Linked DNA regions of Daphnia pulex. The protein of the gene in region 2 purifies or fractionates together with the protein of the main gene of each other region. This does not show direct contact. Links are inferred from orthologs where the notes say so. Each region holds a gene or a part of one and is shown on either strand. Other genes may lie near its edges.

Evidence for each region. The genes of interacting proteins can lie anywhere in the genome.
Region 1: the proteins of intraflagellar transport protein 81 homolog (region 2) and intraflagellar transport protein 88 homolog fractionate together in Homo sapiens (co-fractionation; 3 studies listed by BioGRID and IntAct, with this or other methods). This does not show direct contact. The link is inferred for Daphnia pulex from reciprocal best matches to the Homo sapiens genes IFT81 and IFT88.

The regions. Positions count from the first base shown.
Region 1 is NC_060019.1:9,737,353-9,742,031, reverse strand, and holds the start of intraflagellar transport protein 88 homolog, read right to left. Parts: upstream 3,065-4,679; 5' UTR 2,699-3,064; intron 2,615-2,698; 5' UTR 2,587-2,614; coding exon 2,440-2,586; intron 2,319-2,439; coding exon 2,137-2,318; intron 2,076-2,136; coding exon 1,883-2,075; intron 1,798-1,882; coding exon 1,580-1,797; intron 1,495-1,579; coding exon 1,385-1,494; intron 1,310-1,384; coding exon 1,191-1,309; intron 1,079-1,190; coding exon 921-1,078; intron 852-920; coding exon 665-851; intron 569-664; coding exon 382-568; intron 306-381; coding exon 158-305; intron 92-157; coding exon 1-91. UniProt on the Homo sapiens protein: Positively regulates primary cilium biogenesis. Also involved in autophagy since it is required for trafficking of ATG16L and the expansion of the autophagic compartment.
Region 2 is NC_060027.1:3,610,346-3,614,550, reverse strand, and holds the start of intraflagellar transport protein 81 homolog, read left to right. Parts: upstream 1-1,405; 5' UTR 1,406-1,474; coding exon 1,475-1,585; intron 1,586-1,674; coding exon 1,675-1,808; intron 1,809-1,881; coding exon 1,882-2,062; intron 2,063-2,140; coding exon 2,141-2,296; intron 2,297-2,369; coding exon 2,370-2,729; intron 2,730-2,797; coding exon 2,798-2,983; intron 2,984-3,042; coding exon 3,043-3,436; intron 3,437-3,503; coding exon 3,504-3,619; intron 3,620-3,694; coding exon 3,695-3,990; intron 3,991-4,065; coding exon 4,066-4,162; 3' UTR 4,163-4,205. Other genes in the region: mitochondrial import inner membrane translocase subunit Tim29-like, read right to left, coding at 31-43. UniProt on the Homo sapiens protein: Component of the intraflagellar transport (IFT) complex B: together with IFT74, forms a tubulin-binding module that specifically mediates transport of tubulin within the cilium. Binds tubulin via its CH (calponin-homology)-like region.

The DNA.
Region 1 (4,679 bases), on a different chromosome or scaffold from region 2:
CTGTTGCCTGTCTCCTAGGCGATCGAACGTTTCGCCTAGTTTCTGGTGAACGCCTTCGTCGGACGGCACGACCGTATGGACCTGCAAATACCTGGACAAAAGACTTTTTCAATTCAGAGGCTTTCCAAAAGATTTAGGCATTCAAAATAATGTCCACCATTCAATCGCTTGTTCGTCGTTGCCGAGCTCCTCGTTGAGACTGGCGACCTGGAAAAGAACTTCGGGCTGATGACGCAGGACCATCTGCAGTTTGACAAATTGTTCCAGGCTTTTTTCAAGTTGGTTTGTTGATCTGTACGTCAGACCTGCACGTTCAAATTGTCATACCCATTCTTTAGGAAAACGGACCAGATTGAATTGAATGCGTCATTTTTTCTTTACCGAGATTGTACAGGGCTTCCACACAAGCAGCGTCATTATCCAAAGCGAAAAGGAAAAAATCGCGAGCTTTATTGTAATCCGCTCGGCGGAGTGAACAATTGCCTAAGCAGACGAAGGCGGCCGCATTGTAAGGATCCGAATCTCTAGCCACTTCGGCGTATTTTTCAGCGCTGGCTATGTCACCTTGCTGAATCATATCGTTAGTAAAAAAATAGAAAAAGAAAAGAAAAAAACGGAATTAGTTTACGATTGTGTAAATTTATGCAGTAGGCGTTGAACGTACTAGGTAATAAATTGTCGACAGGTTGACAGCTGCGTTGGTAGCCATTCTGCTGGATCGTTTTTCAAAGCTCCTCAGCGTTTCGGTAGCCAGGGCCACGTCCTTTTGGCGTAGAAAGAGTACGGCTTTATTGATCTCCAAATCGTCTGCCAGATGATTGTGGGTTGACTCTTTGATGGCCTCGACGCACCTGGACATAAATCATTGTTATTTATCAAACATCCCCCCACGACGGATTTGAATAAATTATACAACTTACCACTGGTAGCCAACACTAAAAGTATCTTCGATCACAGGCGAGATTAACTTGGCGGCCATCAATATGCACCTTTCACCTTCAAATTTGGCCTGACGCTCCAAACGGTGTAACGAATCGTTATTCAACGCTTCACGCAACGAATTCCACTGGGCGTCACCCTGTGCAAACATCATTTATCCAGGAGAGGGGGAAGAAGAAAAATAAACAAAACAACAGAACTGAGCACACGAGATTATTCAAATTGAGAATGAGGCAGAGCATCTTATTAACCTCCGGCACCAGTTTATCAAAATCGTCCGACTCGGCACGAACGTCCAGCAAGCGAAGGAACGATTTGCGCATATTTTCCCGATCTGCCAAGGCGTAGTAGCTGAGCACCATGTGTAAACCTTTGAATGTTTGACGTTTTGGCATCAGGAAAAAGGGTAAAGCAATAAATTTAAACCAATTTGAAATTGACTTACCAGTTTTGAAGTCGGGCTTTTCTTGCATAACAAATTCGAAGCTCGTACAGGCGTCGTTGTACTGCCCCATTTTGATAAACAGCAAGCCAATGTTCTGCATTATTTTCGTCCTAATAAGGAATTCGTTTAGCAAGAGTAATCGAGAATTAGTTCTAAAACAAATAATGAAAATGTTATTACAGCCATTTACACTACCTTAATGTTGTAAAGTGAGCCGGAACTTGATCTAAAGCCATTCGATACTGCTTGAGTGAGAGCGCGTACTGTCCCAGACGAAAATGTAAATTGGCGGTATTGAGTCGCAGTCGACCGATGTTGGCGAAAGAACGATTTTTAATTAGCTGCTGATAGGACGACATGGCTTCTGAAAACAGTCCGTTACCGACGTACTGATTCGCTAGGTTGAACAGCACCTGTTTATTCGAAAATTCTTCGTATTAGTAAAAAACATGGAATAGCAAATTTTTTAAAGCAAATCAAGGCGCAGATCGTAATTACCATGAAAGCGAGGTCGCTATTCGATTCCCCCATGCCGGATTGCTCCTTTTGACGTATAAGACTTCGTTCTTTATTGACCGCTTCTTTGGCCTTGTCTAGTGCCACTCTAAATTCCTCTTTACTGTGAGCCACAATTGATTCTTCTATAATTTGTTGTATGCTACTTTCCAGCATTTTCATCTGCTTTTCTGGCCTGTGTAAGATTATAATGAATTTTGTGTAATAAGTTTGGGTTGACAACAAAAGCTACATACGGATCAACAGCTTTAGGTTCTGAAAATGGTGTTGTAACCCTGCCAGATTGATTCAAAGGATCGTAGACCTGACTGGCTGTTGCCAATCTTGATGAAGTATATCCTGCTCCACGAATTGCAGTTACTGGTCTGGCAACTGCAGTTGGAACCCCACCACGAGATGCTGTAACCACTCTTGATTGCTAATATCAAGTGCAATTGATGATAAATAAATGAAAATTGATATTTGGAAATCTTATTAATGTACCACTAAACAAATGAATAAAACCGCTGAGACATTTTACATAGTCTTGTTAACATTACCTGCATCTGTAGCATTGACTGCTGGTTTTTAACATCTCTAGATAGGGAGTCTTGAATGAGGCTAGATGTGTTCAGTGTAGGATGAAATTCATTGAATCCAGAATAAAGATCATCTTCATCATACGTTTCCATGTTATACTTATCCATATTATATCACTGAAAGATATGATCACTTCTAAGTAGTAATATGTAAGGTCAAAACAAACAATCACCATAGCAACTGTGTAACTCATTCCATTGTTGAACAATCTGACAGTACCCAAATTGCAGCCAGAAATAGCTTCTTTGATGATGACAGCCATATTAGCAATATTCTCAGCTATGAAATGTAATTAAACTTGTTACAATTTCTCCTAACCCATTGTTGAAAACAGGTTGATATGATTTTAACCACCGGTGCAACTTATGCTCGCTTATGCTTCTGAATTCCTATCAGAGGTAGTAGTAGACTAGTAGTAATGATTCTAAAAGGATTGGGCATCTTGGAAAATTTTTCAGCCTTGCAGCTGTATTCCTCCATTCATTTTTTATCCAGATAAGAAAATGAACTCCAAAAAATAACGACATTCCATTGCTAAATGACAACAGTCAACTGCTGTTTGTCTTTGTCAGCTAGGTGAGCTAGCCGCCCTAGCCCTAGCAGACAATGTTTTTCTAAAATACAACGTTGCTGTTATTTCCCTGATAGAAAACGACGAGCAGTCGGGGGGTGGGTGGGTAAGTCGAATAAGGCGCCGCTTAGTGAGTGATCGGGGCACTTTGGCAGAGTGATAGACTGATAGAGACTATGGTGATATTGGTGAAGCGACGCTGTAGGAATTCTCCATCATCTTATTATCTATTATCCATTACCTCTATCATCACAGATTATCTGTAAGTTATGTTATTAGCGCCACAAAAAAGAAACGTTTAACAGTAACATGAAAAAAATGTCCGCTCTACACCCTGGTTGACACTCAATTGCAAGAATAACTAACAATCAAAGACTTTGATACTCACATAATATTCTCCCCTTTCAATTTGTATCTCGTCTTCACCCAAAAATGAAAAATTCACCACCGCAGCATCACAGCACATCACAACAGACGAAATCCCCCCATTGCTTCTACAATGAGAGGAAGGCAGCATGACATTCGCTTTTGTGTCTCATCTGTTACTGTTAGTGATTCCAGATTGTTGACGAAATATCGTCGAGCTACCTCTACGTATCACCCTTTTAGCTTTAGTCCTGTCATTCTGAACTGAGCCTTACCTGTGATTAATCTTTCTTTCTTCTAATTAGGTTCGATGGCCATTGATGATTAGTGAGCAGCATAGGAATGCGACAGCTTTGTCTGGGTCTGGGCTAAATGCCCTACTAGATAGAATCCTCTTGGGAAACTTCGCTGCTCCTAAGTTACACAATACACCTCTTAAGCTACTTCCAAAAAGCAAAACAAATTTAGATTAGGATTTTGAGGTAAGTTTAACTGTTTTTAATTAATAACAATTACAACATAATTTAGCTATTGGTTCTAATTGCATTCTTGTACACTGTAAATTTAAATTTGTTGATTAATTTCCCTGCTATAATGCAATATATTTTATTAGTTTATGTTCAGGTGGGAGATCCATTTGCTTGTCTATCAAATAATTTGAGATCACAACAAAGTCTGAGCTTCATTGCTGTCATGCAGATGGTTTCATTGCAACCACCCGGTGAAAAAGGAGTTCAAGTTGAGCTGCAGCTGCTGCAAGCAGTCTGTAGCGGTGATGTCATCCTGAAGTGTTCTCAATGTGTCAGTCTAGGCTGAAGCTAATTAAAGTGTGTTGTTCACTTGTGAGTGTTAAAAGTATTAATTTGCATCTATTAAAGCGACTATGTGAAGTGTATACTAATAACTGTTAAATTAATCTTTTAGATCATTTTAGACGTCAAGCACATTAACAAGAAATTATAAACAAGATGCCTTTCTTTTTTTTATATATTTGCAGGGTCTAAACTACATCTCTCTAAATTTGCATACCAGACCTTATGAGAAGTCATATCGTTTGAAGAAGGACGACGACTACACAGTCAACAAGGTCCCATGTTTGAAAACCCGTTAACTGCTACCTGTGAATCTCCCTTTTTACTTCCTTAAACGGACCCTCTTAATTGAGGTATTGCTTGCTGTCGCTAAAATCTTATTTAAAATTATTGTCATCCAAATAAATGTTCATTCTGCTTACAGGGTAACTCTTCGCTACTGATCATCCAC
Region 2 (4,205 bases):
AATGCCGAAGTCATGTTTCTCAAGTCTTACTCCACTGATCCATCTTGGATACTTTTTCTTCGACGGGTGTCGGTGGAACTGGCACTGGATTTGCCGTTGTTGATGTTGTGGACGAAAATTTTGTTTTTCCTCCATGTTTTCGACCAAAAATTCTTCGTGAAAATCGAAACATTTTCTTTCTGGAAGAGTAAATCGTACGAGTCGAGTCTCGACCAAGTGGGATTTTGAAGCAGACGAATTTCACGTGTTTATAAATTTCTGGGTTTCAACAACATTATTGGAATGGTGTTGCCTAAACCTAAACTATTTCCTGCTATCGCAATTTCCGAGCTTTTGAAATTAAGAGCGAAGAAGATCGTTGGCTTGAAAGTTTAAAATTGGCCTTCAAAGCCACAAGGAAAGGAATTCTTTGATTTCCCTTCTTCCTCCCTCTATATTTCAATTCACAGGGAAAGTGAGTTATTTGGTGAGAATGAGGAACATTACATTCAGTTGGAGATTAACGATCATATCTGAAGGTTGTAGAACTAACTACTGATAAGATTCAATAAGTTAAAGTCCTGAGTTAAAATGACGAGAAAAGGAGAAAAGAAAATTAAGAGGAGTACTTCTGGAGAAAGGCCAGTCGTTCGGTCAAATTTTTGGAAAATTCCAGTCATCCTGTTAATTTTAACTTTCATGGCAGTTATCGTTTGTCTTGCTCAGTATTACACATCATCATCCGCTCCAATGGAGTGTTATCATTGCAGCTGGATCTCGCGTGCAGACGGACCGTCTCTTGTTGACGATCCTTGTGGACAGGATCAAAGATTCAGGCCAAATAACGCACACGTCAAAACCTGCTCACCAGGCCAGGGCTATTGCGGAACGCTTCACATAATCTTTTCTTACATGAATTCCGGCCGCATCAAACAATTCGAATTCGCCTTCATTCGTGACTGTTTCTCCGAGTATCCATTGCCTTACGTGATGCAGCTCGACCATCGAAATCACACATACTACGGGAGCAGAGAAGGCAACGTCTATCCTAATGTATCCGGTATGTCGCTGAACATGACGGTCGTCGGCCAGCAGTGCGGATTTTGGAACAAATGTAACTCCAATGTTCCCAGGACTGGATTAGGATGGGCATTTCTTGATTCCATCAACGTTTTACATCAGGCGAAACAAAAGGGCTTAAGCGCTTGGCATGCTTTGGTCGAGTTTGTTCAATCTGGAAATGGCGCTGCAAATTCTAGTTTACCCTTTCTTGGATAATTTGTATGGCATCATTTTATTGCTGCAAAGTCCACAATAAAATTTAATTTGAAATTAGTAGTCGGAAATGGTTTTGTTTACTTTAGTGTGTCAATATTTTGGACTTTTTACGTTGCCATGGTTACGCAACAATAAAAACAAACAGGACACGTCAAACACGTCGTTGCAAATCACACGTACTTCTTCTCAGTGATTTCAATCAAAAAGGCTTTGTAGAATGACGCAGCAGCTAGTCAAAATCATTGTGATCGAACTAAACCAACCACCTTTTAATTTAAATCTAACTAACATCACTTTCAACGCCCTTCACCCTCCTCAGCTGTTACAGGTAAAATTCGTTCAGACCACTACAAGTAAAATTGAAAGTATAATCTAAATCTCTTTAAAAAACCCAAATTATATACGGGAATTCAATAGCTTTTAAGCGATGTCTTGTGCGAAATTGAATCGAAAACTCGGGTCGATATCAACGACGAGCCAGTCGATGCGTTGGCTTTGCGTTTACTGACCTCGTTACAAATTTTCAAATTCAAACCTGAAACGGAAGATCCGTAAGTTTATTTTGAGAGTCTACAAACGGGAATCACTGATACACATGTTTTTTTTTTTTTACTAAATTCATAGAAATGAATTCCGTGAAGGTTTGATCGCTGGTAGACCGGAAACCATCAACCCGATACTTAACTGGCTACTGCAGCGTAGGGAGGACCTGAAGAAACGAGCTTACTTGTCACGCTACTTGGTCAAGATTGATATCGCGCCTGAAATGCGGTCAGACAGTGATGTTATTGATCTTTATGAACAGGTAAGGAGTAATTATTAGGAAATTCTATTGAAAAATAAAACACCATTTTAAAATCTATACTACACTGGTTGATTACAGTACGAATTCCTGATTGAAGAGTTTAAACAGCGACACAAACAATTCGACACCAGCCAAGCTGTAAATGACACTGTATCCGATCTAAGAAAAGATCTCCAATCAATGGAAGATGACAGAGAAGTTTTGATCCGTCGAATTGAACGCACACAACGCAAAGTGAGCATATTTTTTCCAGCAGCGGGGTTTCCTTTATTATTCCTTATTTTAACTTTATTTCACGTACTGCAAGGTGGAGGGTGTGGCGAATTATAACCAACTACTTTCCATGGCGAAAAAGCTGCGCGCCGAGAAAGAGAAGAGCCGCGAGTTTCAAACGCAGAAAGACGACCAAAAGAGTTACCTCAGCCACTTGGAAGCTCGTCGCCAACGTCTAACTCATCAACTGATGGACATGCGTCAAAGTAAAGTCAACGCGAGTGGGCAGAGTTTGATACAGCGTGCTGAAGACGCCATTCGAGTCAATCAATACATGATCAACGAAAAGCTAACTAAGGAAACCCAGCAAATAACAGCTAGCATAGCTTTGATGGAGAAAGTCTTAGCGCCGCCCAATCCAACTTCAGCGGATCTTCAACTTGTCGTCCAGAAGGTGAAAACAGTTAAAAGTGAATGCCTTGGCGGCTAGTTTGATTTGAACATTTTGTTGTCGTTATCTAGAGCGATGAACTTCGTAGTCAAATTGCTCAGCTAACGGAGAAAAGAGCCTTGCAGAACGATCCGATAGAAGACGGTATGGCGCTTTACAGACAACAGTCGCTTATCATGTCCCGGAAAAAAGAAGCCTGCGCTGAGAGATTAAATCACGTCATTCAGGAAATGACGGCACTGGAGGCCCAACTTCAGGTTTAAATTGAAAAACACGATTTTAAACATCGAAGATAATCAATGTCAATATCATTTAGGCCAAAAAACAACAATTGGGTGAAAATTCCGACGCATTACTAACTGGTGAGCAATTCAAGGCTTATGTTAGCGATTTGCGCGTCAAAAGTAACGTGTACAAACAGCGACGAGCCGAGTTGAATGACCTTAAAGCCGAATACGGCATTCTGAGCCGGACACTGGAAATTCTCAGGGCTCAGGAAGGAGCACTGAGCGACAGTCTCGACCGTATCGAAACGCAACAAGGTGTCAGAGGATTCCGCGAAACGAGGGATCTTCTCGAGCGAATTTCGGACGAAAAGGCCAACACAGACGAAGAGAAAGGCCGTACTCTAGAAGAAATGTCTAATCTCGTCCGCCTTCTGAATTCTAAGATCAACGACAAGAAGGTCGCTCTCGCTCCACTTCTCCGAGGTCTGTCCTTTGCGTTCAAATCAATTAAAATGGTACTAATCACAGCTCAAAATTTTGTTAAAAACAGAATTACGACCTCTAAGACAAACTTACCAAGAAACATTGCCCGAATACGAAGCTAAGAAAAAAGAATATGACGCACAGGTTCAGCTAATCGAGGATACCATCTCGTCGATAGTAAACGTAAACCGTTTGATTTTGGTCCGGTTGGCATGTCATGTTAGACTCGGTAAGTCAATGAAATATTTGTAACGACAGGTGAAAAGCGGTTTGGAGAATGAGATTGTCACGCTAGAAGAACGATGCCGTCAGCTGGAAGCTAACCTAACGAAAAATGAAAAATACCTACAGAGGGCCACCGACGAGATGAAACTGTACGTCAGCGGCGTTCAACAGCAACAGACTGAACGCGGGAAATCCGTTCGGGATCAACTTCAGCATAAAATTGCGGAACAGGAGAAGCTCAACGCTCAACTGCGTCAAGATCAGAAACAGCTTAGAGATAACCTTCCGCAAATGGAGCAGCAGATCAAATACTGGGAGAAAATAGAAAAGTATAAATTAAGTTTGTTTGCCTTTCTTATATTTTAGTTAAAGTCATAATTAAAATGATTGACTTTGACTTCTAGGATATTCCGAGTCAAAATGCTTTGCCTGGAGAAAAATAAATTACAGGAAGGAACAGTCCGGCGTGAACGGGGAAGAGAAACGTTGGTTCTACAATGATGAACACAAAGTTGAAGCAATAGCACTTAAATTACATGAATGT